Linked DNA regions of Danio rerio. The protein of the gene in region 2 interacts with the protein of the main gene of each other region in a biochemical or structural test. Links are inferred from orthologs where the notes say so. Each region holds a gene or a part of one and is shown on either strand. Other genes may lie near its edges. The genes, in order: dnajc3a and thap12b.

The links.
Region 1: the proteins of thap12b (region 2) and dnajc3a form a complex in vitro, tested with the Homo sapiens proteins (2 studies listed by BioGRID). The link is inferred for Danio rerio from reciprocal best matches to the Homo sapiens genes THAP12 and DNAJC3.

The regions. Positions count from the first base shown.
Region 1 is NC_133184.1:31,149,903-31,165,959, forward strand, and holds the end of dnajc3a (dnaJ homolog subfamily C precursor), read right to left. Parts: intron 15,913-16,057; coding exon 15,731-15,912; intron 14,345-15,730; coding exon 14,225-14,344; intron 13,251-14,224; coding exon 13,145-13,250; intron 13,037-13,144; coding exon 12,916-13,036; exon of another isoform or gene 12,420-12,915; intron 11,226-12,419; exon of another isoform or gene 10,399-11,225; coding exon 10,266-10,398; intron 10,156-10,265; coding exon 10,007-10,155; intron 7,666-10,006; coding exon 7,508-7,665; 3' UTR 7,217-7,507; downstream 1-7,216. Other genes in the region: uggt2 (UDP-glucose:glycoprotein glucosyltransferase 2), read left to right, coding at 137-251, 833-949, 4,620-4,767, 4,848-4,870. UniProt on the Homo sapiens protein: Involved in the unfolded protein response (UPR) during endoplasmic reticulum (ER) stress.
Region 2 is NC_133190.1:22,347,508-22,365,318, forward strand, and holds thap12b (THAP domain containing 12b), read left to right. Parts: upstream 1-7,357; 5' UTR 7,358-7,414; coding exon 7,415-7,479; intron 7,480-8,301; exon of another isoform or gene 8,302-8,369; coding exon of another isoform or gene 8,370-8,458; intron 8,459-11,298; coding exon 11,299-11,419; intron 11,420-11,584; coding exon 11,585-11,692; intron 11,693-11,893; coding exon 11,894-11,930; intron 11,931-14,878; coding exon 14,879-16,764; 3' UTR 16,765-17,061; downstream 17,062-17,811. Other genes in the region: dyrk1ab (dual-specificity tyrosine-(Y)-phosphorylation regulated kinase 1A, b), read left to right, coding at 1-178, 1,050-1,174, 1,272-1,877. UniProt on the Homo sapiens protein: Upstream regulator of interferon-induced serine/threonine protein kinase R (PKR). May block the PKR-inhibitory function of DNAJC3, resulting in restoration of kinase activity and suppression of cell growth.

The DNA.
Region 1 (16,057 bases), on a different chromosome or scaffold from region 2:
AATGCCATAGTTTGTGTATTATTTCTCCCTTTTATGACTAATGTCAGTGTATCATATTTTTATACGTCTTTGATATAGATTGCTACACCATTTAATATTAGGATATGTGTAATATAATGTGTTCTTTACTCTCCAGTGCACTATATGTGGTGGACTTGAAGAAGTTCAGAAAGATCGCAGCTGGAGACCGACTGAGAGGACAGTATCAAGCCTTAAGCCAAGATCCCAACAGCCTGTCCAACCTTGACCAGGTAAATCTATCTGCTATTTATTTATTATAAAAACACATGACAAGCACTTACATGTAATATACAGTTGAAGTAAGAATTTTTAGCCCTCTTTGATTTTTTTTTCTTCTTTTTTTAAACATTTCCCAAATGATGTTTAACAGAGCAAGGACATTTTTACAGTATGTTTGATAATATTTTTTCTTCTGCAGAAAGTCTTATTTGTTTTATTTCGGCTAGAATAAAAGCAGTTTTTAATAAAAAAAACATTTTAAGATAAAAATTATTAGCCCCTTTAAGCTAATTTTTTTTCCCCTAGTTAACCTAATTAACCTAGTTAAGCCTTTAAATGTCACTTTAAGCTGTATAGAAGTGTCTTGAAAAATATCTAGCAAAATATTATTTACTGTCATCATAACAAAGATAAAATAAATCAGTTATTAGAAATTAGTTATTAAAATATTGTGTTTAAATATGTGTTGAAAAACACTGCTCCACGTTTAACAGAAATTGGGGGAAAAAATAAACAGGGGGGCTAAAAATTCAGGGGGGCTAATAATTCTGACTTCAACTGAATGTTTCTCATTGGTGTCTGATGCTAACAGGACCTTCCCAACAACATGATCCATCAAGTTGCCATCAAGTCATTGCCCCAGGAGTGGCTGTGGTGCGAGACCTGGTGTGACGACCACTCCAAAACTACAGCCAAGACCATAGATCTGGTTAGTTAACATGCACACGACACTGCTATTCAACACAAGCACACAGCAGCGGGACATTTGTACACAGGTGTCAGCCAGTTCTTGGAGGGCCGCAACCCTGCACAGTTTAGTTTCAACCCTATTCAAACACAGCTGATCAAACTTATTGAGTCCTTCAGGCTTCTTTGAAACCTACAGGTAAGTGTGTTGAAGCAGGGTTGGAACTAAACTGTGCAGAGCTGCGGCCCTCCATAAACTGGATTTGACCGGATATGAATGTTACTAAATATAACAAGATTACCAATACAGTACACAGTACAAAGTGCTGATATTTGGTAGCCTCTAGAAAACCTGACTTATTGTATTTTTGTTGCTAATTTACATTTTTTTTGTGTTAAATAAATTACCATTTAATTTGACCAAAAAAGTCGACTTGTGAGATGATATACAGGTGAAATGCCTGCAGTCTGATAAAATCCAGATTTCTCCATTCCCACTATGGCTAACACACACACACACACATAGACAGAATGACAAAAATAGTAGTCTCATTTACACCCTGTTCCTGCTTCTGCTCCTGGGAATGGTCTCATTAGAGGCGGCGGTGGCTGTGTGGACTGCAGCGCACAGCACAGGTCTGGGAACAGGCTTCACTGCACTGCTTACCACTGCAATCCATCCGCTCCTCATTAAAGCTTTACTCCAGCCATGTGAGGGGCAGGCAGGGGTTATTTTTATTAACACAAACTGAATGTTTGCAATTGTAACTTATTTTAGTCTTGCTTTGTCAACTAGTGTTTGCAGTCACCCTCTATATTATTATTATTGATTTACCATTCCATAGTGTTTATATGGTCTTAATTCAATTTATTTAAAGATGTAATGCATACACATAATACCAAACATTCTTAAATAACAAAGGGTTGTTTTTTCCCCCAAAAAGAAAATATATTCATTTACTTAATTTCCAAACTCTTGTCAGTTTCTTTGTTGTTGTTAAACAGAAATAGAGATAATCAGAAAAAAAGTTTAAAGATTAAAATAAACTTAAATGTATAAATTAACTGAAAAGTAGTTCATGATTATACCAGATTTGTTTTTAAAGCAGGGGCAGCACAGTGGGGCAGTGGGGAGCTCAATCGCCTCACAGCAAGAAGGTCGCTGGATTGAGCCTCGGCTGGGTCAGTTGGCTTTCTGTGTGGAGTTTGCATGTTCTCTCCGTGTTGGTGTGGGTTTCCTCCGGGTGCTCCCTCAGAAGTACAAAAACATGTGGTATAGGTGAATTGGATAGGCAAAATTTTCCTTAGTGTATGAATGAGTGTGTATGGATGATTCGCAGTGATGGGTTGCAGCTGGAAGGGCATCAGCTGCATAAATCATATGCTGGATAAGTTGGCAGTTCCACTGTGGCGACCCCTGATTAATAAAGGGATTAAGCCAAAAAGTTCGAAAGTTTCGAAAATGTTCGAAACTTGCAATAAACATACTAACAACTACAACATGCTAGCTAGGTGCTAAAACAAATCATGCTAAAAACATGCTGGCAAAATGCTAAAACAAAACATGCTAGAGACAAAAGCAATGTGCTAAAACAAATCATGCAAGAAACACACCATAGATATATACATTAGATGTCGCCTATGCTGTTGTTGTTTATTGGAAGGAATGTGTCAATAGAGCCGCCATTTTAGTACAGGGTAGCGCTCCTTTGCAATGAATGTGGGACCAAGATGTAGTGGAGGACTGGCCATCCAGAGCCAGAGAGATGTAAATATTTATACATATGTCTATGATTGAAAGTTTTTCCAGTGGTCAGTATGCAAATATATATATTTTTAATTATGCTTTATCGCTTTTCTACATTGATGGATAAGTGATCACATATTGCTGACAAAGGGCATGTGTTTGAGTGCATGGAAATGTTTTATCCACCCTACCTGTTAAACTTGATCTAATCTATGTCCTGAAACACACCCCCTCTCCTGCTTTCACTTCTAATTCAGAGGGACCGATTATATTGTGAATGAATCCCCATTATAAATGACTCGTGTGAAGCATCGATATCCCTGTGGCTCAATGTGCATATTCACCTTTCTGATCTAAATGGTATATAACATATGTAATATTCAATAATTTAGGGTGTACAGTATGCACATTGAGGCGCAGGCAGTTTTGTAATCAGACACCCTTATAAGTTACTTTAAAAACTAGCGTCACTTCACTTAGCTGACAATAATACAAATATCTGACAGTACAGTGTCTTGTCATATTTCATTTACATTGTTTGCCTATTTTATTCAACAAAACTAGCAGAAGTCCAGTATTTCGAGCAAGTTGGTGCTACTTTGCCTGATAGTCAGTGCAGTAAGTGACTTTATTATCATCAGTAACGTTACTTGTTGAGCACAAACATTCATAACATATAAAATCATAAAAACCCAGATCTTACCTATGAAATGTGATGCCTTTATGCTTTGTTTTCTTTGTCTGCTCATTACTACACCCGTACACAACGCTACAGTCCAGCATCTTTAGATTGGCTTTAGTCTTGACTATTGCAGTTGAAGGACGTTTGTCTTGGGAGCACTGTACATATGTGGCAGCGCTACTGATGCATACTCTGGGTTCGTGTGCAATATCTAGTCTATATCTATGGAAACACTAGCAATGAGTTAAAACTTTAGAAATGTCAGCAACTTTATATCATACTTTAATTTGCTACAAAAACTGGACTGACACAGCTTCAATTTACTAGAACTTCTATGTTAAGCTGCTTTGACACAATCTTGTAAAAGGGCTATTGAAATAAAGATGAATTGAATTAAATACAAGGATAGCAACATGCTAATAGTTGAAAACTTCAGACTTTAAGCTTTTTTAAGCTTTTTTTTTCAAACTTACAAGTAAATGTAAATGTTTTCAACTTTAATCTAATAATTATCATCTGCAGTTCTATCGCTTGCAGGAAATCCTTTTGCTTGTTATTTCTGCAATGCTAAATTTCAATTCAATCCTACAGTACCAGTCAATACATTGAGCAGTCTGGACAAATTTCTGTTTCTATTCATCTTTACCCTTTAAAAATTATTCTTTGAAATATTAAATATTAAAATACAATATTTGTTGTAAACATAACACAGATTATATGGTCACACTTTATTTTGATGGTCTGTTTGTTGAATTTGAGTCGCATTGCTTCTACATGCCAACTAATTCTCATTAGATTATAAGTAGACTGTTAGGTTGGGGTTAGGGTTGGTGTAAGTTGACATGTACTTGCAAAGTTTCTTCTAGTCAGTTAAATGTCTGTTGAAGGAGCAGTATCAGCAGATATTAAGCAGACAGTCTACTAATACTCAAATGGACCATCAAAATAAAGTATTAATCAACTACAATCTACAGTAAAGTTCTCAAGTGGGTCTGAATACCATTTTAAAAACCATTTTAAGCTGATATTGGATGTAAATTGTCCAAACTTTGTGTCCACAGCATTGAAAGTGCTGTAGTAAATGTAAAAATGTGCTCTGTGAATCAGAAATGACCAAAGTGTTGACATCAGCCTCTATTACAGGTGAACAGTACTGACAGTTTTCACTTGAAGTCCTCAAAAATTGAAATAAAAGCTCTGCTAAAACAGCTGAAGGAAGTGTTTCGCCTACACAATTGACTTTTTGGGCTTGATTTGTTGCAGTGTAATAACCCAAGGACCAAAGAGCCCAAGCTGAGTGCAGCGGTGAGGATTGTTTCAGAGTGGACGGAATATGACAATGAGATAAAACGCTTTCTGAAAGAAGCGAAAAAAGAAATTACCCAGAGTAAAGCATCCACACAGCACACAGGTAACTCTAATCAATACACAACAATACTTCAGTAATCCTTGTGATTGAAGCAAAGTTCATGAACATCTGTATTTTAACAGGCAATCGACGTGACGAACTTTAGCACTCAAGAAAACCGACTCGTCCTGTAAATCTTAAACCATGTTTTCCACGACAGAAATCATTTTTAAAGGACTTCATGTCAATTTTATGTATGTGATTTTGAAGGAAGATTCAGTTTGAATTATTTCAAATTGTAAACATGTCTTGGCTTTTTATAAAACGCTGTTGAAGAGCATTGAAGAAATCTGATATTTTTGGCCAGCTCATGAACTTGCAAAGGCACTGGTGTTTATCTGAAGTATTTATAAGGGAGAAACATGTCAATATTGTGTACATTCCTTCAGAGAAAACGGTTACATGTTTGTTCTGTTTCACATGGCCTTTTTGTATTCAGTAAATAACTGTACAATACTTTTGTTTGCGTGCAAATTGAAGGGTATATGACAATTTCAGTAATAACTAATACATTCTGATTAATTACAACTCATGTTTGAGTACTGAAAAACTGAACACTATGAAGAAGACTATTTCCAGAATAAATCATTCATTTGTAAACCAAATGAAGGACATCAAGATATTTGTTATTGTCAAAACTTGTCAGTTCTGCATATCTGATCTGAAGACCTTTCTGAATGACAGTTACTGAAGCTGATTTCCAGCATTCCCTGATTATTTATATTCTTGCATTTCATCATTGACATGTTGTACATGACTCTGTACATGTTGTTTCTATGCCTTGATGTTCAGTGATTTTCTCAGGAATAAAGTGATATTTTTATTCTGAGGTGGAGAAAGCCTGTTTATAAACTGCTGGTGTTTTAAATTTGATTAATTTAAAAGGGATAGTTCACTCAAAAATAAAAACTGTCATTATTTACTTATTCCTTGTTAGAAACAGGTTCCTTTCTTCTGTTGAACACAAAGGAGTATATACACTCAAACAACTTGCTGTTTGTTCAGAATAATTGGAAATAAGTTAAAACAACACAATAATTAAGTGTTTTTTTGGGACAACTTAATTGTTTGTTCGGACCACTTACATTTGTAAATGTTAACAATGTTACGTTTACTTAAAAGGGTGGTCCAGAGTGTATGTATAAGGCTTGGTTGGGTTGATAAGATGCAAAGCATTGTGTGCTCATGCTTCATTTGTATAAAATTAGTTTTTATATATATATATATATATATATATATATATATATATATATATATATATATATATATATATATATATATATATATTTGATTATATACAGCTACTCGGCTAACATGTACGAATGACTGTCATATATCCTAGTTCCTCTGAAACCCCCGCCCTCAAGGGGCTCTGATTGGCCAGCAGCTAATTTAATGTGCCGTGATTCGCAGATCAGCTTTACGTGACCAGGAAAATTTTCACACATCTTCAAGCACATGCTTTTGCACTAGGTAAACACTTTCAGTCAGAGTAGCTGTTAGCTGTATCAGTTTGAGCCTGAATCAGACAGAAAATGAAGAGGACACAGCTGAACCTCATTTCCCATTGTTTACATTCTTGCTACAACACAGCGGTAACGCTAGATAATGTGCATGGATTTGATTAATTTTAACAAATAAAAATACTAACAGGTTGTGGCTCACAATCCACCGCTTCATCAGTTGGAGGAGTTTGGAGTTTTTATCAGAATCCAGCACAGAACTGAGGGAGATTCTGGAAGCTGTCCATTGTCAAATGCTAGCTGTATATTTTTTATAATTCTCTGGAACACAATTAAAATTAAACTGTAAGCACTTCTGTCTTTGTGTCGTGTCCGTTTAAAGCCCAAATACAGAAAGAGAACAAACTTTGTGGCAATAGCAGCGTTTGGACAGCATTTCAGTTTTCTCTGCTATAACATTACAGCGCCCCTTTACTGGACAGGGTGTATGCGCATAGTGAATGCACAGAACCAGAAGCCCATGTGATCTCACTAGCCTGGATGTTTTTTGTAGTCCTCAAACTTTGTTTGCTGTAGGCTTTGCTAAGCTAACTCTGTAAAGCCAATGTCTCCTTTGCATTGAACTTTGAGCGTAATACATTCAGAGATGTTGTTTGTTCACACAGCTACATTACACATCAACTAAGGTTTCAAATATGATATCATAGTGGACCACCTCTTTTAGGACAACGCGAAAGAATTCTGAAACCTAGATTTTTAATTAATTTTTTTATTATAGCATACTGAAGAATGTTGGGGGAAAACTGTTCTACTATGAATATTAATGGCTGCTTTTTCCAACCTTGTTCAGATTCAGAATTTGTTGTTTTGTGTTCGACAGAAGTTTAAAAGCACTTGAGTGTAAGAAAATAAGTGGATTTTCATTTTTGGGTGATATATTTCTTTAAATGCCTCTATGCTCTTCAGTAAAAGACCCAAAACCCAGGTAATTTAAATAAGCATTCATATCTCTTTATTTAATTATTTACAGCTTGGTTTGATTCATAGAAAAATACTGTTTTCTATGTACATGTGATTCTCAGGAATGTAAAGGTCGATGCGCACATTGACCGTGCACTCAGGACTGTGAGATCCCTGTAGTAGAGGAGCTGTTCACAGATCAGTTGACCACGAGCTTCAAGGCGCTTGTCCCATCTGAAGTGCTCCTGTGTGTGAGGGGTCTCAAGTTCCCAATTGCTGACTCCAGCATATATCCAGGCCCCGGGTCCTTCAGCAGAGCCTTAGTTGAAACCAAATTTGAAATTAAAAGGTCCAGAACCAAACGGATTGAACCCCTGGAAGTTTTCCCAGCCGCCATGGAAGTGGTGGTGATGTCCTCCACCCTGCTGACTCTCAGGATCCATGGGATCTTCACCCTGGTCAAACTTACTCCTCATCTCTGTAGAGAAATGAATAGCATGACACTGTTTACAGGTGCTTAACAACCAGTAGTGTAAAGTAACAAATTACAGATACTCAAACTACTGTAATGGAGCAGTTTTTCTAAGAAATAGTAATTTACTAAGTAGTTTTAAAAATGTGTACTTTTACTTTCCCTTGAGTACATTTTTAGTGCTGTATTGTACTTTACCTCCACTACTTTCCATCTACCTACAGTCACTACTTTATTATTTCTTGTCTACGGGAATTAGAAAAATAAGACCTGTGATTCCTGTCCAATCAAAGTTGCACATAGAAGGTAAATCGCTTCATAATGAACTACCTCAAGACATGGGCAATTTATAATTGCAGCAAACTGTTTGCAACCATTAAAAGTGTCCAAGAAGATGTTCAAAATATTTACACACATTGACCCAGAGACTTAAGATGAATGTCACTGATGAGATGATGATTGGATGTTTACTATACAATGACCGAAATGCCCTTAGATACCCAGCAGACACAAAACGTCAACAAGACGTCAGACTGACATTATACCGCAATGTTGAGGAATGCCTTTTGTTTGGAAATAAAAATCGGGTTGATGTCACAAGTCAATTTCAAGCTGACATCAATGTCCAACCTAAAGTCAACATCTAATGATGTTACAGCTTGACGTTGTGTGGATGTTACCACTGTGACGCCTATCAGATGTTGGATTTTGGTTGCCATACCTGACGAATAAAGGTCAGTATTTGATGTTGGATTTTGGGCACTTTCTAACAACCTAATCAACGAAATATCAACTTCATTATTGGACATCAAAATAATGTTGTCCTAAGACATTTGCTGAACATTGAATTTTGGTTACCTGACATCACAACCTAAATCTAACTTAATATTAACGTCTTATGATGTTGTGTGCCTGCTGGGCAATAAGTAAAGGCACTACAGAAATTTACGTTTACACACATCTACAAATTATATGTAAACGCATCAACTTTTTACAGCGTAATAATCACTACTCATTAATACTTTTGGAAGGTCTACTTTTTAATCATACTTTAAGCAGTGATTACAACAAATACTTTTTCACTCCATTTTTGGGCCAGAAATAGTACTTTTACACCGGATATGATTATTCGGTACTCTTTCCACCACTGTTAACTACTAAGATTAAACCGCTCCTAATATGCCATTTTAAAGGTTACTAGATTTGTTTAGAAGGTTAACAAGCATCCAAAGTCAATACAGTTAAATTAAACGATGAACACTACTGCATTAGCTCTCTTCTTACAGGGTCTGAAATAAATCATTAAAGTTTTTTTAACCCCCCCTTTTTAAGTTTTCTCTCCTTTTTATTGGTCAAACAGGCTAGGTTCTTGTGATTTGTCAACTACTTGAAGGGATATCTCAGCCAAAAGAAAAACATATACAGTACTATAGCTGATGGAGCAAATCAATCCCAAACTCCCAATTTTTTTTTATGAGTGAAAACTGTATTTTAATGCTAATATTTATTTTAATTCATAAGTATAGTTGGTATAATATTAATAGTTTTGAGTTATTATTATTCATTTGTTTGCTTTTTACTGCCATATCAGCAACTTATGGCCATTTCATTCATGACAAGATCGATATAGATAAAACATTACATATTAATAACAACAACTTCACAGTTAATTAAGATATTTAAAAGTAAAATTAATTGACATTAAAAACATTAGTCATGATTAGGTAAGAGTTTTCAGTTCGATATATGATAAATAACCTATAATGTATCCATCAATGTGCTCTCAGTATAAAAATCTTGTATCCAATCAATACTAGTAATAGCCTAAACTTGAAATATTTACACATAATGTTGCTTTAATATACACATAGATAAGTAATAGAAATGTTAAGTGGTTTGTGAGGCTACAAATATCAGTTGATTTGTACAGATATAATATTTTCTTTAAATAGTCATCTGCTGATGCCACAAAATATTATTTCTGTCTGTAAAATGTGTTTCAATTCATTATATTTCTGATTATAAAATCTCTTAAATTTTCAACACAGAAGTGAATTGCTCTCATCAGAAATAAATCAAACAGACTCTCTCATTGGCTGTTTGCTGTACGTGTCACACTGTGAGCTGTGTGCAGTCCACTAACTCTGGATTAAACCCTGAGATAACAGAGAAAGTTTATTTCAAGCATTTTAAGACCACCAGATTTGAGTTGTTTGGTTTTGTAAACCCAAAGATTGGCCTATTCTGTATCCCAGAGTTTGTTCAACTCATTTTGTGCAACAGTCCTCTCTGATTGATGATTTTGATTTTTGGTGACTTTTAAACCAGCCATGACACTAAACTGTACCTGGGTCAGTGAGGACTTCTTTGGCTTGAGCGATGTCTATAAACTTCTTCTCTGCCTTCTTCTTCTCCTCTGCATCCTGGAAGTTGTCTGGATGCCACTGCTGTGCCAGCTTTCTATAGGCTTTCAAGATCTCCTTCTTCTGGGCCGTTCTGCAACCACAAAACATTCTTGAGTGTGTTCATTCATTATTATCGGGCCTCTGCATTGATGAACATCTGACTGAGAGTCATGGTGTGTGAGTGTATGCGTGTTGTCAAACCTCTTGACACCCAGGATCTTGTAGTAATCCCTCTTCTTGGACTGTTTGAGGAGGCGCTGGGCTCGCTCCAGACCCTCCTTGATCTGCCGGTCGTTTTCACTGTACTCTTTAGCGCTCTGAAAGTCTTTAATGGCTGAAAAAAAGGACATAATTCTGTCAGTTATTTTGATGAGAAATCTTGAGGAAACATTAAAAGAGTTCAAAAGAGTTTGTTTTATAGTTAAAATGAGGAATTCTAGAAACATTAATGATCGTGAGGTCACACTTTACAATAAGGTTCATAAATTAATGCACACACTAACATGAACAATATTTGTACAGCATTTATTAATCAAAATTAAACATTTACTAATGCATTATTAACCAAGTTCATGCTTGTTAACATTAGTTAATGCATCATCAATTAACATGAACTTACAATGAACAATTGTATTTTCATTAACAACCATGAACAAATACTTTAGCAAATATATTTTGTCATTTGTTCATGTTAATAAATGCATTAACTAACATTAGTCAGATTTTTAAGAGGATATTTTACAGATAATCCTTCAGATTTGTCTAAAATATAGACTGTAATACACAACTGACATATTTAATTTCTTATAAATAAACTAACATAACTTTAATCCATTTTATATCATATTTTATGGACCGATATCTACATGACAACATGACAAACTTCTTTAAATTATAAATGCTGAAAAGTACAAATATAAGTATAAATAAGTGCTGATAATATACTCTAAAATGGATTTAATGTTTAACTTGTCATAATTAATATATATACACGTTTTATCATTTAATTGGCAAAGCATGTTTTCAATTTAACTGTATGTAATATTTGTAAACAAATAAGACTTTTTAAATGAGCATATTTATAACATGAGCAAAAACTACTTATAATTTATAATAAATAACACTGACATTAAAAATGTCTCAATAGTAACACAAAGGGCCCTATCATACACTCGGCGCAGTGTGGCGCAAGGCGTTGCGCAGTAGTCTTTTGGTAGTTTCAGCTTGGCGCAAGAGTCATTTTGAGGCGTTGCTCTACGCTGTTTAAATAGCAATTGCATTAGCGCTCATTTTTGCGCCCATAGGCGTTCTGGTCTAAAAAGGAAGGCGTTCTGAGGCGTACCGCTGGCGCGTTGCTATTTTGAGAATCTATAATAGATTTTTCATTAGACCAAAACTAACCCGGTATAAACTCCAGCGCAGAGTTGCGCCTCGCTTACGCACTGCTTAATACGCACAAGAGAGCAATAGGCAAATATCTTTACATATGAAAAAATTTAAATATTAAGGATATATATAGGATATAATAAGAATAGATATAGAATATAAATATAAAGGATTAAAATATAACAAAACATTATTTTCTAGCCTACATAAATATGAAAAACCACTGCTTTTATGTCTTCTTCATCTCAGGAGGCTTTTTCAGTTCATTCATAACAATTTGCTTTTGTGTAATGTTTTTACTATTAGCAGTATTATTTATTATATCCATATTTATATTTGTTTTATTAAAAACAAGCTTAGATTTGCCCACCTATCAGGTTTTAGACCATATGGGGCAAAGCATGTGTTTTAGGATATAACTCAGGTTTTTGAGCACATTTTGCTATTATTATTCATTTATTCGTTTGCTGGACATTAGAAATGAATTTAGAAATAGTTTTGAAACTAATCTTTGCTCTTAACAAACAAAAGTATTTATTTATAGACTAATTGATGTCTGTGCGTAAAGGTTGTTCCTATCCAAGAGCGAAATTGAAAGTGATCCATTATCTCTCATTATCACGCAGTAGATGCTCTGTTTAACAGTTTTCTGTTAAAAACTGTTAACTGTTTGCTAGTGAAATGCTCATTTTTTCCACTTATTTGCTTCCTGTAAATAGCGAATGCGCTATTGGCGCGACGCAGCTGACTCTTAAAGGGAATGGGAGATGAGATTCTAATTGGTTTATTCTCAAAACACACCTATAACTTATTAAGAAAATAAACTCAACCCTTTTAGAACATGCGCCACGGCGCAAGGCAGATTTTCCGTCCTTAAATTAGCAAAAACGCGTCCTGACACTCCCTGAAAGCATTTGCGCCCTGCGTTTTGCGCTCTGCGCATGGACCATCAAAATAAAGCCCAAACACTGTATTGGCCTCAAGATTTTCCTGTTTTTTTTAAAACAAATTGTAAATGAGCTTTAAATAAAATTATCAGCAGAGAAAATATATTAAAGGCTGATAATGTAGAAAGTGTTTTATTTTATTCTTAAATTAATAAATGCGTTTTTAAAATGTACCTAACAAAGATTTTTCATTTTTACTCATATAGTCCATTTCAATGTTGTCAGGTCATTGGCCCATGAACATTTCCTGCTTGTTATGAAACCTTATAACTGTAATAAGAGGCAATTCAATCATAAATTAAAGTTAGAACATCCATCATAACATTATTGATCAATATGTGGCTCTTTTTAGATGATCTGAAGGAGGAAGTAGGCTGGGACCATCGTTTTTGTTTACGTCCCTCAAAATGGTCTATATTATTTTTTATTTAATAGCAATCGTTCAATTTTTCATAACTATATGTCTTTAAATCCCTGTAGTGTAGTTTTGGGTGGGTGTTGTTCAGTATTTCCAGTACCTTCTTCATACTGGTCGTCCTGCAGTAAAGCTTCAGCTCGGTCTTTCAGAGCATTGACATTCTGAGGATCAGTGTTTAGCACTTCACTGCACACTGAAATGGCTCTGGCGGTTTGCTGGTCCTGTGAAATAAAAGTGAAACCTGTTCACTTACAGTATGTTAATTCAGCACAGACGCAGCGTATGTTTTAGCTGACAGCGACATCTTGTGGACAGAAGCTCATCCTCACCTTTGATAAGCAGTGGCACATGCGTTCTTTAGCGTTCAGTGTGAAGTGGGGAACATTCGGTTCAGTCTTCATAACAGACTCGTATTTACTGACTGCATCACTGTACCTGTGCATTTACGAAAACAAACAACATTTAGATTATTTAGACAGTTGATCAATAGGTGTACATTTACTTCAAATACTTAAAATTTCCTGCACAAATAAAAAAAATGCGAGGCTACTTTTATTTAGCAAAAATTAGTGGAATACTATTTTTTCTTTTTTTTTTCAAATAAATGCTGTTTTCAGAACTTTTCTCCATAAAACATCGTTGTTTTTTTTACCACAAATAAACCCTAAAAAAAGTTTTTACAATTTTAACTAAGCTATTCTGCACTACATTTACAATGTAATATACATCTAATTACTCATATTAATTAAATAATTATTTCTAAACACTGAATCAGTATATCATGATCCCATTATATAGATCATGTTGCAATGATGAACATTAAACATTCAGCTATACCATTATAGTGAACTACATTGTAAAATATATTTAAAAAGTCAGTCATATCAAACTGTAAATCTGCATTTCACATTATTACAGTTTTACTGTATTTTGATCACCCACCCTACTGGGTGTGTGGGTGTGTGTGTAGCCAGATACATAATTACATAATACATAATTGAAATAACATACACTGCCATCCATGCATTATTAGCATTCATGAGTATTTCAAAATTTTCTAGCATTTATGCTTCATAGTATAATGCAATATTTAGTAAAATGAGCCACTCTATTAATAGCAACAATTGTTTTTTAAATATAGTCAGCTCTATATTTTCATTGTTATCTCAAAATGTCCATTTAAAAGACACAGATATTACATTCATTAAAATGCATTTACTAATGTAATTAAAATCAAGATTATATAATAAAATACATTCTGGGATGTGTTATTTCAGTCTCTAGAAGTACCAGTATCATATATAATTAATACAATTATAAATCATTTTAATAGCATTGGAAAAAAAAAAAAAAAGCAACAACACAAAATCAGATGTAGCCTAAAAATGTATAGATTTAGAAAGACGTACTTCTCCTGCTGGATAAGTTCTTCAGCAGACTGAATCTGCTTGTTGAGCTTCTTCACTTGTTTGTAGTGGCTGAAGCACTGCTTATGATCCTGGTCCAGTTTCAAACACTCCCTCACCTCACTGAACACACAAACAAAAGCTGAAATAATGGATCCAGCAGACAAAAGTTCACTACATCTTCAAAGTATAATATGTTTTGTAGCAGACAGGAACTCCAAGCTCCCAGACATAGGCTGCATTTACACTTGTGTGTTTTTTATTTTAAAACATACTACTTTCACTTTCTCCTGGATCAATGCATGTTACTGCATAATATACAGACTAAAACACAAAAAAAAAAAAAATAAATAAATATTTTTTACTATTTTCAAATATGTACGCGACTCCACATGCAATAGGGAAAGTAATTTTAAAAATCATCCTTGAAAAATTTGATAGATTCTTAATTTCGATTACTTTTCCTTGTTGATTTAATTTCCTTGTTAACCTAATTAGCAAACTTCAATTTAAATAGCTTAATACTATTGTCTTGCGAAATAGCTAGTACAAGATAATGTACCATCATCATCATCAAATTATTAAAAATTAGTCATTAAAACTACTGTTAAATTACAGAAATGGACAGCCTCTTTTGAATGCCTTGAAGATGATCACTAGATAATTGATTGCCAATATGTTTTATTTTTTTATGAGAGGGAGTGGTAAAGCATAAAATGTTCTGTGGGGTGTAATAACGCAGGTATTTCATTATTGTGCAATAACTGGCACTAGAAATGTGTCTTGTGTATCAGTTCTTTTACTAATTTACATATGTTTGCTAATTTATCGTTGTTTATCATTTGTGTACACGCATTTGTGAGAGAACTTATATGCACATAAAAATGCCTGAATATCAATCATACAGTAGGTAGGCCTATGATTGTTATATATACAGTTGAAGTCAGAATTATTCAACTAAATTCAATTCATCTTTATGTCTACAGTGCTTTTACAATGTAGATTGTGTCAAAGCAGCTTAACATGAAAGATAATATTAAATTGAAACTGTGTCAGTCCAGTTATTAGCCCTCCTGTTTATTATTTCTCACAAATTCTGTTTAACAGAGAAAAGATTTTTAAACATAATAGTTTTAATAACTCATTTCTAATAACGGATTTGTTTTATCTTTGCCATGATTACAGTAAATAATATTTGACTAGATATTTTGAGACACTTCTATACAGCTTAGTGACATTTAAAGGCTTAACTAGGCAAATTAGGTTAACTAGACAGTATAGGGTAATTAGGCACATTATTTTGTAATAATTGTTTGTTCTGTGGACTATTGATAAATATAGCTTAAAATGGGCTAATAATTTTGACCTTAAAATGTTTTATATAAAAAATCAAAAACTGCTTTTATTCTAGTTTATTCTGCTTTTAAAATAGTTCAAATAAGACTTAATAAAATAAAGACAGTAGTGTAAATGTAGGCTTAATACACAAATAATAAGATGTTGTCTTACTTGAGGGACATCTCATGGTCTCCCAGGTCATAATAGATGGTACTGAGCTTGTAAAAGGCCTGAGTGTTGTCACTTTTCAGTTTTGAAGCAGCCTTAAGGTCGCTGATAGCTTTGCCCAGCTCCCCCATCTGAATGAAGCACTCGGCCCGCATCTCTCTGGAGTCCACATCCCAAACACACGTCTGTCAACAGGACAAGCTAATGCTCAAATGCAATCCGTTGTTTGCTTTTTATTTTAATAGTAATATGAAATATGTACTGTTTATAGTTTTTGCAGCGCAAACTATCATGCCAATTCAGAACAAAGAGTTCTCTTACAAAGCACAT
Region 2 (17,811 bases):
CTCAGAATGCTGGACTATGACCCCAAGACGCGGATTCAGCCCTACTATGCCCTCCAGCACAGTTTCTTCAAGAAAACGACGGATGAAGGAACCAATACAAGCAGTAGTGTGTCAACAAGTCCTGCACTTGAGCAGTCGCAGTCATCAGGGACCACTTCTAGTACATCCTCAAGCTCAGGTGCTGCTACCCGTTCTGTGTTCTAAACTTTTTTTTTTTAAACAATATCTCCTAAACCTTTAAATACAAACCCGTTATGTGCCCTGACAACACATTCTGGCAACTTACTTTTAAGAACTATCATTGCTGGAAAATAACAATAACCATGAAGAAAAAATAGAGACAAATTTTTAAATTTGTTTATAACATTAAGAAAATGTTAAGGAAAAAATATCAGAAATTAGCAGCATTGAGCCCTACCCAGACCTTTGATGCACTGTAATTAATGCAATCTAGTCAGTAGGGCTGGGGGATTTGGCTTTAAATCAAAATCTCGATTAACTGAATATTTTAACTTGATTACGATTAATAATGATAATGATTTTTTTTATGATAATGAAATAAAAAAATAATAATTTACTGACCCACAGCGCTTTCCTGTTGCCATGCATGTGTGCTTCAGTGTGCTGTTTGTGTTTTGCAATAGCACTTCTGAAACGCTATGTGTCGTCACAACGTATAGTTACATTTTTGAGAGGTGCGCAGGTATGCAACCGTGCGAAGGCTGCACTGGACCATATGCATGCACTTGACGTAAAAGTATAATCAGTCTTAACATAGTGGGGTCACGTGACTCCACACGCAGTGAGGAAATTAATCGAAAAAAATTGACCTATTAAAATAAAATCGATTATAGATTCTAAATATCGATCTTGGTTTTTTTTTTTCGATTAATTGTCCAGTCCTACCAGTCAGCCTCTTTTTGCTTTCAAAGTACACAATTATTCCTGTGTGCGAACCAGTGTGCGGGTAAACCATGCTCTGAAAACTGGCTTGATCATTGTAGTGTCTCTGAGTGAAGCTAAACACTGTTTGTTTGCCTTATTTCCAGGAGGATCATCTGGAACAAGCACCAGTGGCAGAGCAAGATCCGATCCAACTCACCACCATCGGCACAGCAGCGGGCATTTCGGCACAGCTATGCCAGCCATAGACTGTGACAACCTGTGCCCTCAGGTGAGCCCCTGTGGCTTCTCTTGTCAAGTGGTTAAAGCGATTCAGAGTTTGACCTTTCTCACCGAACAGTGCTTTTTTCTGTTTCTGGTTTGTGCAGGCGAGACAGCCTTATCATCCACCAGTTGTATGGCCTGGAATCGTAGGACCAGAACCTGTCACTGTAGAGACTCATCCAGTCCAGGAAACCACTTTTCATGTGCCTCCCCAGCATCCCAAGGCATTGCACCCCCATCACCATCACCACCACCATCATCACCACCACCACGGACAGGTCATTGCAACGCGACCACGGCCACGACTCTACAACTCGCCCACCAACAGCGCCTCCACCCAGGATTCCATGGAGGTGGTGCACGGTCATCTGTCCATGACATCTCTGTCTTCCTCAGCATCCTCTTCCTCCACATCTTCCTCTTCCACAGGAAACCACGGCAACCAGGCTTACCAGCTCCGCCATCTTCCTGCCAACACCCTGGACTTTAGCCAAAACGGAAGTTTAAGTATGAGTATGGGTTTGGGTGCCTTCTCAAATCCCCGCCAAGAGACTGGTATGGCTGGAAATCCCACGTACCCCGTTGCCACAAACACAGGAACTGGTCACTTTATAGCAGAGGGACACCTGGGCATGAGACAAGGCATTGATAGGGAAGATTCTCCAATGACTGGAGTCTGTGTTCAGCAGAGCTCGATGGCCAGCTCGTGACTTTAGCTGAAATTGGTTTGTTTTGTTTTCTGTGTGATTTTTTTTTTTTTGTTTGTTTCTTTTGTTTGTTTGTTTTTTTTTTAATGGTGGTGTTTTCATTTTCTGTTTTTTCAAAAGGTGCATAGAGAATAAAAGCTGCTCACTTCAGATATCACTGAACCGCTACAAATTGAAGAGTATTTAAAAACAAAAGTCTATATGTATTTCCATCATTTTCCGTTGTCGATTTCTAGATGAGTTCGTAATGCAGCAGATAACCATAGTGGAACTGCCCATTCACTCAACTGCATACAGTACTTGTTCACCATCTGTTTCATCTAGATTTGTTTTAGTTGTCCCTTTTTTTCATTCAATACAGTGAGCATTTCAGAGCTGTGAGCTGTCGTACAGCTTTTTATATGTAAAGCAATGCAAAACATTTGTTTAGTTCAAACAAGTGAAACATTGGACATTATCATTTGGCTGGTCGTTCTTTTCTTTACCCTTTAAGTGAAACTTCTCTAAAGAGCTGTGTGTTTAAACCTGTAGCGTGTCAAGGAAGCAGTACTTGCAGTGATATTTCGTGTTGTCGGTATCGTGTAACTCTTGGAGCGGGGCACTGAGCTGCTGAGCTCCGCTGGTGTTGGGTCCCGAGACAGACAGACAGACAGGCAGGTGCAGTACTCTTCAGGCCTGGAGGACCGGCCGGCTTCGACTACGTACAGCAGCTGAGGAGGAGGAGATAATGATGGAGGTGTGCTGAGGAGGGGAGCAGATCCGGATCCAGGTGGATTTGGGGGCTGCTGTCGAGAACCCTTTGGCCTTATGACTTTTGGACCTTGACTGAAAAGGAGCTGGACTTTATCATTAAACAGAGATATGATGGCTGTCCTCTATTTTTCACGTTTAAAGAAAGAGTCCTTAATCGGTTAGTGAAGCTGAACGAGAATCATTATTCAGAGGCCTTTATTTAGCAAAGATTTTTCTCTTTTAAAGGACTCCAAATTGCAGGGTCTTGCTCAAACGTCCCTAATATGACTTCCTAAAATTGCCGAAGTGGGATTTCACATAGAAAGTATTCATTTCTCATTGATTGGCTTGTTTTTTTTTTTCCTTTCCCGTCAAGCATGTGGTTTCTATTGGAAAAACATCTGCATAAATTTGCCTCTTTGTGTTGAACACAGAAGATATGTAATGAGATTTATGTGACTGCCTTTTTTCTCCTCTTGAATTATGCTGTGAATCTTACACCAATTACTTTATTATGACCGTCTTTCTATTTTTTTCTTGTCCTTTTTTTTTGATATACCAAAGCTGTTGTTTTTTATAGCACTAGGTGTCTGTAAGAAATAATGTAGCAGTTCACCACTTCAGCCCGAGCCTCATCAGAGTCCATTTTAGTCTGTACACACTCTCTCTCAAACTGAAACGTTTGCTGAACTTTGTTTTAATGTTAACGAAATACTGAAATCGGTTTAATATATGGAAAAACCTCCCTGATTTGTTACCCTTTTCCTTTTGTTTTTGCTGTCAAGGGGAGGGAAGAGGGACACTGACGGTTACTCTGCAGGCTACAGAGTAGCTGAGAGCTCATACAAATGTATTCCGAGGAGAGAAAAGTGTTTTGTTTTATATTTACCTGGTCTATCAGTCAGTGATGCTGCCTTTTATACCTAATTTGATGAACATGCTAATTTCTACCTTTTTAAATCTAAGTGGCTACTTAAATTTATTTATTCAGGCAGTCTACTGTAGCTACTGTGACCTCTGCGTCTGAGTTGAATTTGTTAGCCAGTGATTGCTTGCCTCAGATGTAGTATTGAAAGGGAAGCGCTGCCACACAGACACTGGGCACATGCATGTTTCTGAAGAGGAGAAGTGTTCATAGTCACGTTAAGGATAGCTATGCTCACTCTCGTCTTTATATCAGAGGCTGTGAGCCCCCCCCCCACCACCACCACCACCTAGCTTCTCACTTTAGGTCTCAATTGAATTCTTCAGAGAAGCCCTAGTTGGCTCAATTACAGACAGTGGGACACTATCCTGCCGGAAAGCGTGTGGTGTTCACTCTTTTCCTTTAGCGAAGACGTCACTTTCAGACAGAATCATGTTTTTGGTATATTTCTTTCAACAGCTAGTGGAAATCTGAAGAAAAGGGGTTTACCTGAATGTTAGTTAAAGATGTTTTTGCCTATATATAAAACATTGGAGTGCTGTTTGCTGGCGTCGACATAAACATTCCAAATATCAAAATCTTAACAAAATGGCAGAAACTTTTAAAAGAGTGCACCTGTTTCAGCTGTTACTAAATGAGGTCTGATTTAGTGCAGTTTTCATGAAATGCAGCCCCTTTTTAATAGTTGAAATAGAATTTATGTATATATTTATATTTTTTTAAATAAAGGAAGTATAGAACTCACTACATTGCTCCTGCTGGTATGTCAATTACATTGCCATCTGTTTGCTTACCTGTTTATTCCCCCTTGCATTTTCTTTTAAAATCCCTCCTTGTCTTGGTCGATGGACCAAATTTGCTTTTAGTCAGATGCATTTGACATCAACAGGACAACATTAAAGGTAGGGCTTATGACTTGTACCGAAGGAATCTTTTCACAGGGTATGACGCATGTGTGTGTGTCCACACTTTTTATAATGCTCATGGTTTGCTAGGTCTGTTTCTCCCCTTTTCTTAGAAATGCATTCTAGGTAATTGTCACTGATACACAAGATCATGTTTTTTAATTCAACATTCTTCTGCCTTCTGATTATTATTTTTGAGTTTTCATATTTTCTTGACCCTTTTCATGCAACATGCACTATATAATTGAACAGCATGGGGAAAGGATAAGTGTCCACAGATTGTAAGCTCTAGTCAAGACTTTGCTGTGTATATGAAAATGCCCTTTGTATTATATTCAAACAGTCTTATGTATGATATATAAAAAATAACTTAATTGACGCGCTCTTGGCTTTTTTTCTTTATTCCATGGCTTGTTGCTTCACCACATCGAATCTAAACATTTCATTATAAACCTGTTAAAATAGTTGCTGCGGATTATCAAATCAATACACCAAAAAATCAAAAACTCAAAAATAAATTGGCGGATATTAAACTTTTTCAGTCAGTAAGTGGATGTTTAAGTGGCGGGAATTCTGATAAATATTGCGCGGCTCGTTGGTCTAGGGGTATGATTCTCGCTTCGGGTGCGAGAGGTCCCGGGTTCAAATCCCGGACGAGCCCACCTTTTTTTTTTACTTCCGAATATGAATTTGCTTTGACCTCACATGGTTCAAAATAAATGCTACGTGCTCAACTCCGACTGAAATATACGTCGTTTTGCTTACAAAGAACCATTGATCTAAATACAGAGATCAGACTAGTTTGATTCTCCGTCATGGCACTGTGTTCGGTTCTTTCGAACAGTTCATTGGTTCAGATTCAGTGATTCTTTACGTCACGATGTAATTATGAAATCACGCGCTGCATGCCGCTATGACAATGAAGAAAAGTAACACTTTTAAACCTCTGTTAAATAAAATTTGGCTTTTTAGTGGTTATAACTTTTTAAATGAATTAACTGTTAATTAAAAAAATAATGTTAACCTACAATGTTCAATGCTTACTTATTTCTTAACAACAGCACTGTACACAAACAATAAACATTCAAAAATAAAAGTAAAATTAAAGTTATAATTCATACCTCTACCTATAATAAAAGCTTTATTACTCAATTTTACACAGTAAGCTGCCTGCACACAACCCCAAAATTTAAACTTCAAATTTAGTACCACCCGTAATGAACTGTTTCAACAATAAAACACATTTATACAGCATCAAATGCTAATGGAAAACACCAGTGTTTCTTTAATTGTCACTTTAACTCTCTAAGAGTCGAGCACTGTCATATAAATAACATGAATGTCCTAGAAAACACCGGCAGGTAAGTGTTTTAAAGCAATGCTCTCAAACTCAATTCCTGGAGGGCCGCAGCTCTGCATATTAGCTCCAGCCACCTCCAACTCACACCTGCTTGACAGTCTCTAGTCTTGAACACCTTGATTATTTGGATCAGCTGTGTTTGATTAGGGTTGGAGCAAAACTGCAGAGCTGCAAGCCTCCAGGAATTGAGTTTGAGGCCTGATTTAAAGAAAATTGTGCATATTTGTGATTACTGCAATCCTTATTATATTAGCGTTACTTAATGATCACTCATCAGTACGATTCCATCTTTCCTATTGTAGATTAAATATTGGATAATGTGGGGTAATCTCAAATCATCTTACTAGTAAGTTGAGGACAGAGATGGCCAAGTTGCCGTCATGTCAATCGCTGCCAAACTAAATGTATCAAACAAGCTTGTGCTGAAAATGTATGTAAGGGAATGAGGGTCTGTTCTTAAGACGCCTAGCCTTTGCTGCCATCTACAGGATTTACAGGTCCTACTACACCAGAGGATCATGCAAGGTCAGAAAGTTGAAGAATTTTCGCTCTGTTTGATTGAAAGGAGAGGCACGGGTACTTTTATTATATCCTCTACATGTCAGGACTATAACCAGCCTGGTGAAACTTTATTAAAAAGTGGACCTTGTTACAGTTATACGCTTCATTTTCTATTAAAATGTGATTTAAATACATTTGAAGTACTATTTTTAGCTGGATTAGCTTGTTGGATAGTCATAACCACACTTTTTCATGTACCAAAATTCCAAAAATATTTTCTAGATAAAAAATAAAGAAATATGAAAAGATACTTATTTTAAAATACAAATTTATCCCATCATCTATTATTAGAGAAAAAAAAATGAATCAGTTTTCAATTAAACACAAGTCTATTGTCATTTAAGGCAGCATGGTTTGCCTCATAGCACGATTGTCTCACAGCAATAAGGTCGCTGGTTCGAGCCCCGGCTGGGTCAGTTGACATTTCTGTGTGGAGTTTGAACGTTTTCCCCGTGTTGGCGTGGGTTTCCTCCAGGTGCTCCTGTTTCTCCTCAAGTCCAAACACATGTGGTATAGGTGAATTAGGTAAGCTAAATTGTTTGCAGTGTATGAGTGTATGGATGTTTCCCAGAGATGGGTTGCAGCTGGAAGGACAAAAATTAGACAAATTCTGGACGTTTGTCAGTGAGGGGTGGGGTGGATTTTCGGAACCACCAGAACCCCCCTGGCTACAGGCCTGCTTCAGGCTGCTTGTATTTGTATTATAAACTTTACATTTTCAACTACCAAGCAGTGGCGCAGTAGGTAGTGTTGTTGCCCACAGCAAGAAGGTCGCTGGTTCGACTCTCTACTTAGTTGGTGTTTCTTGTGTGTTTCTGTGTTGTTGTCCCTTTAATCCAGGGTCACCACAGCGGAATGAACCGCCAACTTATTCAGCATGTTTTATGCAGCGGATGCCCTTCCAGCTGCAACCCATCACTGGGAAACACTCACACACTCTCATTCACACACATACACTTTGGACAATTTTAGCTTACCCAATCCACCTGTACTGCATGTCTTTGAACTTGTGGGGGAAACCGCACCCAGAGGAAACCCACGTGAACACAAGGAGAACATGCTAACTCCCCACATGCCAACTGACCCAGCCGAGGCTCAAACCAGCAACCGTCTTGCTGTGAGGTGTGACGTCGCCAAATAAATAAACATTGAAAATCCAAATAAAACCAGATTAACACCTTCATTAAAAAACATTGTTCACAAAATATCTGCCGAAATTGAAAATGAACTTAAATTATTTAATCAGTCTTGGCGTGGAAATGCAGTGAAAATGAAATGTTAAACCGGCAACTTCTTTTTATTTATCAATTTTACAAGGACATGGTGTTGTCACACAGTGAAAATTAAAATTTAATAATTTCAATTTTCATTTGACAGATATTTTGCGAACAGTTTTATAATTGTTAAGGGCATCCACTGTGTAAAACATATGCTGGATAAGTAGGTGGTTCATTCTGCTGTGGTGGCCCAAGATTAACAGTACTAAGCTACTCAGTACTAAGCTGACAAGAAAATGAATGAATGAATGAATAAAATCGCTGGAATTACCTTCCATACAAAAATAATAACGTTACATTTACAAAATGAAATTCATACTACATGCCCAGCACAACTAAATCTAATTTGTAAAAAAGTAAAAACCATTAATATTTTCACCAAATAAACTGGATTTTCATATTTATAAATCATGTTTTGAATTTACGAATTGGATTTTGTGAATGTGAATTTTGTTGCGGATGTATGACTTTTATTTGACAAAATTTTATTTATGAGACTGATCTGGCTCCACAATTCACTGAAAAGATCCGAATCAAAAGAGCGATTCGTAAATATCAACCGCTTTCAGTATGGCTGATGCATTGTGGGATCTAAGCGACTTGCATTGTGGGTAGACACGCCAACAATGCTAGTGCCTCATAGTTACGCGCCTAGTTCAGTTTTTGCAACGCTGAAATGATTAATTTAGTGTCATCGTAACTAATAGAAACTTAGTCTTCATCAGATCAGACACAATGCCAAATTTTTGTGCCGCTCCGAACTGTACTAGGAAAAGCACCCAATCCGATTTAGCTTTCTTCAGGTTTCCACGGGATCCAGAGAGGTAACTTAACGTTACGACTGTTTTTACAGCTTTATAACACTGTCACTGGCGTTCAGTAGCATCATTATATCTAATTAATTATTCATGAGGACTTATTCATGATCATATTCTTCATATCAAAACGCTTTGTATTGATGTCGATTGGGGGTGCTATTTTCATAGATGTTCGAGATGTTTACCCTATTAAGTTGTGCATGATCGTGCGTGTTTGGTTACGTAGTAAAATAAAGTAAATATTGTCAGTTTTGGTTTTCCCACTTGAAAAATGCTGTATTGTTTATAGTAAAGTATCTAAATCATAATCAAATTACACAATTTGTACAACTTAAATTCTACCACAATACAACACAATTTACTGTAGTAAATACTAAATGTAGGTATAAGATTCTGACGGCATGATAACCTTCACAGTATTGGGATTAACGTTACTGCTTTAAAAAGATATTTTTAAATGTGTGCAAAAAAAAAAACCTTTCCCACACTGAACCCAATGTTTTTCATTTTAGAAAACGTGCATAATGTTGGAACTGTACACATGTCAGTCTTATTAACTAAAATAAATCATTGACTTTTGCTTTCTTCGTTAGTTTCAAAAACAGATTTCCTCACAACCTGAAAAGACATTGTGTATCTTTTTTTCTCTGAATGTACATTAAACCACCGCACTGTTCAGGTCTATAGCATGTTGGGATGTTGCTGTATAAGTGATTTGTTTTTCAGATGTTTCCTGAATCATTGGCTGACTCTTGATGTGGAGTGGACTTTTATGCTGGATATACTGTTGCCCTAAAAAGCCTGCATAAAGTAGTAGTAAAAAATGTTAAAAAGGAATAATAATAATAGAAAATGTTGTGGTTTTAAAATCTAAACTGTTCTAAACTGCGGTAAACTTTGAAACTGGTTATCGTCCATGAGTACACTGTAAAACTCAACAGTGAACTTTCTCAAATGAAATGAGTGTAGTTAACTCAAAATTTACTGAAAGATAATTCTACTCATTTGAAAAGAGTTTTAAACTCCGTATTGAAGGCAATGAGTTAATTAAATACCACATTACTTTAACTAAAAATGGAGTAAGTTCACAGTACTCGTAGAGATCAGTTTTTAACACAAATGGTTTGTAGCGATCGATTTTCTCAAACAGTTTGAGTTGCCTTAACTTATTGGGTTTTACAGTACACAGTTGGTTTAAGTTCTCCATTTACTGGGTTTTACTGTGCTTAAATTGCTTCTTTTACTCAAATGGAGCAAGTTACAGTAACTCATTAGGATTCGTTTTTTTAACTTAAATGGTTTGTTGCAATCAGTTTCCTCGAATGGTTTGAGTTACCTTAACTTTTTGGGTTTTACAGTGTAGTAAAATCTAAACTATACTACAGTATTTCTGTGTTTACTATAGTTCTGATAAAACAAACTTATTATAATTATATAGTTTTAATAATATGGAATGCTGCTGTATCCATAATTAACAAAGAGTTTTAAAAGCACTACACTATGAATTTTAAGTTACTATAGTATTCTTTTCACATGGAGTTAGGGCTGCATGTTCCTGGAAAAATGTAACATTGCAATATTTTTTATTCTGCTATATTGTGCATCTGAAAAGTATTCATAGTATCCATTCACTTTATTCCACATTTTTTTATTTCGGCCTTATTCCAAAATGGATTAAATTCATTAATTTCCTCAAAATTCTACACACAACACCCCTAATGACAATGTGAAATTTTTTTTTTTTTAAATTGTTGCAAATTTATTAAAAATAAAAAAGCTGAAAAATCACATGTACATAAGTATTCACAGCCTTTGCTCAATAATTTGTTGATGCACATTACAATTACAACCTCAAGTCTTCTTAAATATATGTTGCCACAAGCTTGGCACACCTGTCTTTGGGAATTTTTGCCCATTCCTCTTTTCAGTACCTCTCAAGCTCTATTAGGTTGGATGGGAAGTGCTGGTGTACAGCCATTTTCAGATCTCTCCAGAGATGTTTAGGTCTTTAGGTCTGGGAGAGGATTTAGATCTGGGCTCTGGCTGGGCCACTCAAGGACCGAGTTGTTGTAAAGCCACACCATTGATATTTTGGCAGTGTGCTTTGTGTCATAGTTCTGCTGGCAGATGAACCGTCGCCCTGTATTGTAACATTAAGAAAAACATGGAAAAAGTGAAGCACTATAAATACTTTCCGGATGCTCTGCATATTGTGATGTGAATACGATTTCACTAGATGTATTGAATAACTGTTTGGAACGAAATTATAATTTTAGATTTACTGGGATAATTCTGTGAAGGAGTTCATTAAATACAATGAAAAATCTACAAGCATAGATGAATTCCTTATAGAAAAAGGTACTAATTAAATAAACAGCAATTTATTGTTTTCCAGAGGAGTCGATCTGTATTCAGGTATGCAGTAGATGAATAATCAAATGTAAAATTATACTGCATAGTCTTTGTTTAATAAACAATTCAATCAAATTAATTGTCATTAAATTAAAAATGATACAATTTAAAGTCTTCACGCAGTCACAGGCCTCAAAAAAGGCTTGTGAAATTATAATCCAGACTCAACATTGCTTATACACGCGATGTGACTATTGCGAATGATCACATTGTGATATCGATGCTGAAACGATATGTTGTGCAGCCCTGTATGGACTACATTTTTCTAATGACTTGAAAAAGTTTAAACGCTTTGTCAAATTAACCAGTAAATTGTAACGTTACATGTGTAATTTATTTTTTAAATGTTTTCTTCTCTAAACCTATGAATAAGTGTTACAAGAGACTAGTCATTGTTTATTTCATAAACCTTTGTGCTTTGTTTTACTTCACAGATGTAGGCTGTGGGTGGAGAACTGTCGGCGTGCAGATCTGGAGGAGAAAACCCCTGATCAACTGAACAAGCACTACCGACTGTGTGCTAAACACTTTGAACCAGCCATGATTTGCAAAACTGTAATGCAAAATACTTCATCATTGTAGTTTGTCTTTAAGATATTTAGTAATAAAGCAGGAATCTGTTTATTTTTAATCATATTATTTTCTTATTGTCTGAGTCTTTGATTTGTTGTTTTAAATGTACACGGATCAGTTAAGTGTTTTTGTTTCGGTGTTTTTCAGAGTCCATATAGGACAGTACTAAGAGACACTGCTATACCCACAATTTTTGATTTAACCAGTCATCTAGGCAACCCCCACAGCAGACATCGCAAACGCATCAAAGTTTTGGTAGGAGAAGTTTCTTTTTCATGTCCTTTGTGTGACATATTTATATTCTGTAGAGTTTACCACCTAATAACTTGTTATTTTTGAGGTGTAAAATTGAAAACCTGCCCAGTATTTCTTATGTTTCTTGTATAATTGTTGTTGATAAGTAATAGAACAGAAAACATCTGACATAAAGTGATGCTTCATTCTTGCTTTCCTCAGACAGATGAAGAGGTACAGAAAATCAAGGAAAGGCGATGTAAGTATATATATTTGATTTTGGACTAATAATACTTTTAAAAATCACACTACAGGCCATGAATCATGAATATTTATAATAACACATATCACACATTGAGTTGTATGATTCTGGAATTCGGTACTAATCGATACTGAAATTTAAAAACCTCCATTTAAAACATTTGAGCGCTGTGGAGCATGTTCTTAAAATCTGCTGATTTGCCATTGGGTTCACATGCTCAACAGAAATGACTGGCCGTAAATGTCATCAGTTCAGTTCACCAAACTAGAGGTCTGCAACTAGAGGACCCGACCAGCTTTCTTGCGGCGTGGCATGAATAAAATGCAGTAGTGGTAGAGAGCTCTTGTGTAAGTTAAACGGGAGCCGGGGGTCTGACTATATGTCTGAGAAAGAGAGCGAGAGCATCCTCCGTAGTGCTGTGTATGTGTCTGTGTCTGTGTGTGTGTGTGTGTGTGTGTGTGTGTGTGTGTGAAGGAGAGAGAATGAGGGAGAGCACTACTGGTGTGCACCACTGCCCTTTTTGCAATGTCTTGTTTGTAAGCAGCAACGCTGCACTGCTTTGTCAATACGAATGTACAGTTATTGGTCATGCCAATAAAACACCTAAATGTGAATGTGACAGCACATTCGTGGCGACGCAGTGGCGCAGTGGGTAGCACGGTCGCTGGTTCGATCCTCTGCTCAGTTGGCGTTTCTGTGCATGTTCTCCCTGCGTTCGCGTGGGTTTCCTCCGGGTACTCTGGTTTCCCCCACAGTCCAAATACATGTGGTACAGGTGAATTGGGTAGGCTAAATTGTCCGTAGTGTATAAGTGTGTGTATGTGCATGTTTCCCAGAGATGGATTGCGGCTGAAAGGGCATAAAAAACTAAAAACTTGCTGGATAAGTTGGTGCTTCATTCCGCTGTGGAAACCCCGGATTAATAAAGGGACTAAGCCGACAAGAAAATAAATGAATGAATGACAGCACGCCCGCCATGGTGCTGTGTGTGTGTGTGTGTGTGTGTGTGTGTGTGTGTGTGTGTGTGTGTGTGTGTGTGTGTGTGTGTGTGTGTGTGTGTGTGTGTGTGTGTGTGTGTGTGTGTGTGTGTGTGTGTGTGTGTGTGTGTGTGTGTGTGTGTGTGTGTGTGTGTGTGTGTGTGTGTGTGTGTGTGTGTGTGTGTGTGTGTGTGTGTGTGTGTGTGCGCGCGCGCGCGCGCGCGTGTGTGTGTGTGTGTGTGTGTGTGTGTGAATGAGAGAAAACAAGCGCAACCACCATGCTCTGTGTGTGTGTGTGTGTGTTGCTTGTAATAGGCTAACTGAACTCTGTAACATCTATACAGTTTATAACATCTATAACATCTATATATGGGTGTTTTTGGGAGTCCTATTTAATCACTATACAATCTTCTGTGGCCCAATATGCACCTGCTACATGTATAGAAATAATGCTGATGTGAAATATGAAACTCAATCAGTAGTTGACAAATATATTGAGTGGATATGTTTGCATATCTGACTTTGAAAGAGCCTCACCAGCCACAAACGTCACCACATGTCACGTGGCACTCATGTCTCATCACAGAGGGGCAAACAAAACTGACATTTAGCTTACAATCCTTGCACAGGCTACACTTTTATCTGTTATCTCTCTCTCTCTTTCTTTCGGTAGTGTTCAATTTTTACGTGAGATTTTGAAAACCAGATCTAAATTTAGTGGGAATGGTTGGGTAGAAAATGGGGCGGGTGAACAAAGACTGAATATGCGGCTGGAGCAGTCTGGTGCGTTATAAAACCTGGCGGGAACGGGATTAAAATTTCAGTCCTGAAGCTGTTTGGACAGACATGTGTAGGTATAGTGTATAGACCGTCATATTGGGGTGATACAAACACACCCAGTCCTTTTTTTTTTCAATTTACCAACATAAAAACAGTTTGCAAACATGTTTATTTTTCATTGCGTCTACCTTAAACTTCAGCTGTTTTTTCTTGCGCACACAGAAGCTCCCTGTGATCCTAACTAGGTGCAGCTGGAAAGTGCGAGATTTCTGTCAGGGTACACACAATGACGCTTCCAGTCGGCAGCTGTCCATGGCGCCCAGCCACGATTCGGGAAACCTCCTATTTCAGTCGTGCCACAGAGCACCATCTGAATAGTTTCATATTAAATAACATCCGAATGTGCGTGTCTGGTGTTCCGTGTCGTGGCTCTGAGCGATGCATCTGGTGCCTCAGTCAAAGTTAATTCAGTGTGCGTGGTTATTAGTCTCAGTGTACAAGCTCGGAACTTTAAACTAGCAGTTGGCTGTAAAACTATACGAAGACAAATGCTTTTGCACTCTCTGCTTGGTCTATGTCCAAGTCATACATGCTGAATGCTGGTCCTCTCACTCATGTTGCTCACTCTCTGTCTTCCTGTCTTTTGCCAAACACAGAGCGGGTGCGCTCTTGGCCCTTGTTACATTGGACGGGAAGTCGAAACTTATTTTCATGTAAAGCAACACGCCCCTAAAACAGCGCCCTGTGTACATGCCCCCAAAATAACACTTCTGAACACATTATAATAAAAAAATCTGAACTGTGTTTTGAACTGAACCTAAACTGGCACACTCAGAAGAACCATAATAATAAATCTTAAAAAAGGGGTAAACTATGTGACCTTTATTAATGCCTGGTGTAAAGCAAGGCCTTTTTGAGGATGTAATATTGACCAGCTGATATGGATGCATTAGTAATGTAATTTTGACATACTGATTTTCATAATCAGAAGCTAAAAACGATATGTTGGCTGATAAATACAGATCTTAAAACACATTTTCTGAGCCTGATAGCAATTACAAAATGCAAAGAAATCGTTACCAATAACATTAAAAATAAACATTTATTTAGCAAAGTCACCACCAGGCAACTGTACATTACCATCTGATTTAAAATGTACTAAAAAAAGCTTTGTCTCCATCTTTTTAGTGGAGTCTTCAATTGAACAACTCTCGAAAAAAGACAGTGATGCTCAGGATGACAGCGAGACCACCGATGATGTACCTCGGCTCACGCCAGAGCAGAAAGACCTAAGAGAGTTCTTAAAGTCTTCATTTGAAGTCATGATTTTGATAGGAAGGCAAAGCTTTCCATTCAGCAGCAATGCAAGAGAAGATGAAATGCGCTCTAGAGAGGAATGGCTGTTTAATCCAGGTAACTTTCAAGCATTGCTTGAGAACCGCATCAATGCAGGCGATGAGTTTCTCAGGAGGAGATTTGAGTCAGCGGCCGTTAATGAGGAATATTGTCCAGCCGTCCAGCAGAGACAGCTTCTGGATGTTTGTGAGAAATGCGTCCGTGAAGAGATCCTTCAGCAGGTCAGGGAATGCCGCTTTTTTTCGATTGTCACCGGTGAGTTGGTGGACTTCCCAGAGGGAGAGCATCTACCTATATTCCTGCGCTTCGTAGACCAAGACAACACTCTCCGGGAAGAGTTCATCGAGTTCCTCTCATTCGAAGGAGAGGAGGTCACTGTTGCTGAGAGATTAGAGTCTCGCTTGATGAAGGGTTGGGGCTTGAGTATGGAGCACTGCCGAGGACAAGCCTACGCAGGATCTGGTATACTTGGCACCAAGATGAAGGTCATCACTGCCCAGCTAAAAGAAAAATATCCCATGGCGGTGATCACACCTACTTCCACCTGTGCTCTTAATGTTCATCTTGCTAACGGCATGTCGTTGACCGGAGTGCAAGTCGTGATGTCAGTTTTAAAGAAGTCAAATGCTTTTTTCAGAGCATCCCCTTTGCTACAGACTGAACTTGACAATGCCATCTCCATCCTCTGCCAGGGAAACCTAGAAAAAGAAAGCATCCTCAAAGAGGGCTCTCGATCAACCTGGACAGATCTTCATAACCTGTTTGAGATGGCTGTGGATTTGTTGGAGCCACTTCTGCTCTGCATGGACAGCATACATGATAATGAGGATCTAAAATGGAGTGACCAAGTCACCAGTGACGCTTACGCCATTTCCGAGGCCTTGGCGGACTTTGAGTTTATTGTGACGTTGGTTATTTTAAAGAACGCATTGTCTTTTACCAGAGCGTTTGGGAAGAACTTGCAAGGAGAAACCATTGATGTGTTTTTCGCCGCCAACAGTTTAACTGCAGTCCTGCATTCGCTGCATGAGGTATCAGACAATCTGGAGGTATACCATGAATTCTGGTTCGAAGAGGCTGTCAATATGGCGACTGCAATGGAAGTCCCGGTGAGAGTGCCAAGGTTGTTTCTTCGGAAGCAACAAACGCCGGACACTATAGAAATACAGGCAGAGTCGTTCTTTAAAGAGTACCTCACACAGCCAGTTATGGAGTACATCACGCAGGAGGTCAAGGACATCTTCTCTGAAAATCATCTCAAAGCGCTCAAGTGCCTGTCTCTCGTTCCTGCTGTCATGGGCCAAATGAGGTTCAATACCTCTGAGGAGAGCCACGCGGACATTTACAGGACCGATCTACCCCATCCTGACACGCTGCCTGCTGAACTGCATTGTTGGAGGATAAAATGGAAACACAGAGGCAAGGAAGTTAGCTTGCCGTCCACCATTTACGAAACCCTTCAACACTCCGATGTGAAGTTCTTCCCAAATGTTAATGCGTTTTTGAAAATATTAGCCACATTACCTGTGCTGAAGCTTGATGGGAGTCACGGTGAAACTGCACAAAGACGCTTACAAGCTTACCTTACAGACACTGCGGTCAGCCAGCGGTGTAAAAATCTGGCGGTGCTAAATATCAATTACCATATAAAGACAGATCTTGAAGAAATGGTCCAGTGTTATTTAAAACGTTACCCAGAGGAAAGCAAGACTGATTAACAGCTAAGAGATATAGGCTTCCCAAGTGCTGAAAACCCTTCAACTGGAAATGTATTATGCATTGGAATTGTATAATGCAAAGTATTTTGTTTTCATCCTTACCTCCCCTGCTCCAAAAAATAAAATACTATTTTTACATTTGTTAAAACCTAAAAAAATTGATTTACCATGCAAGTGGGCTGATAAATGAAAAATTTGACTTGAGGAATCAATTATTGAAGACAGTTTTATGAGTTTGTGTTTGTATAAACTGCTCTGTTGTGTAAATAAAGTAAAAGAACTTTTGATGCTTCAAAACAAGGATTCTAGAAGGTCTTCTACACTGTAAAAAGACTGTTATTTTACTTTTTTTCTAGCAGCTGGGGTACTAGCAGAAAAATGTACCATAAAAAAGCAGGTAAATTACAGACATTTATCGTAAAAACAGAAGTAAAATTACAGAGATTTACTGTAAAGAAACAGCCGTTAAATTGCAGAAATGTACCGTAAAACCACCCGTTAAATTACAGAAATTTTCCATAAAGTAACAGATGTTAAATCTCAGAAATTTACTGGAAATTAAAATTTAAGGAAATTTCTGTAATTTAACGCAGATTTTTTTCAAATGTCTGAAACTTTTAGGATTTTTTTCATTCAACCCAGCTGCTGGGAAAAAAAGTAAAATAACTGATTTTTTTTACAGTGTGGAAAGATTTTTTTTTTTCAGATTTTAAATGTCTTTGTTCAGCATCATAGTCATGGATTGTATTACAGGGTTCTTACAGGTGCTGAAAATCCTTGAAAATGACTTGAAAATTTGACTTTTCTTATGTTTTGAAGGCTTAAAAAATGCTTAGATTTTGGATAAACTGCTTAAAAATGTTATTGTGTTGCTTTCCTAACAAAGCGTCTTATGAGTAGGGCCAGACAGAATCTGCTGACATTTTTTGCTATTCTGAGAATTTTGTAAAAAAAAATCTGCAGGTTTTTTATTTGAATGATTTTAGGAGTATCATAATTAAAAACGTAATATAAACATGTTAATAAAAACAAAGCATATGAACATTT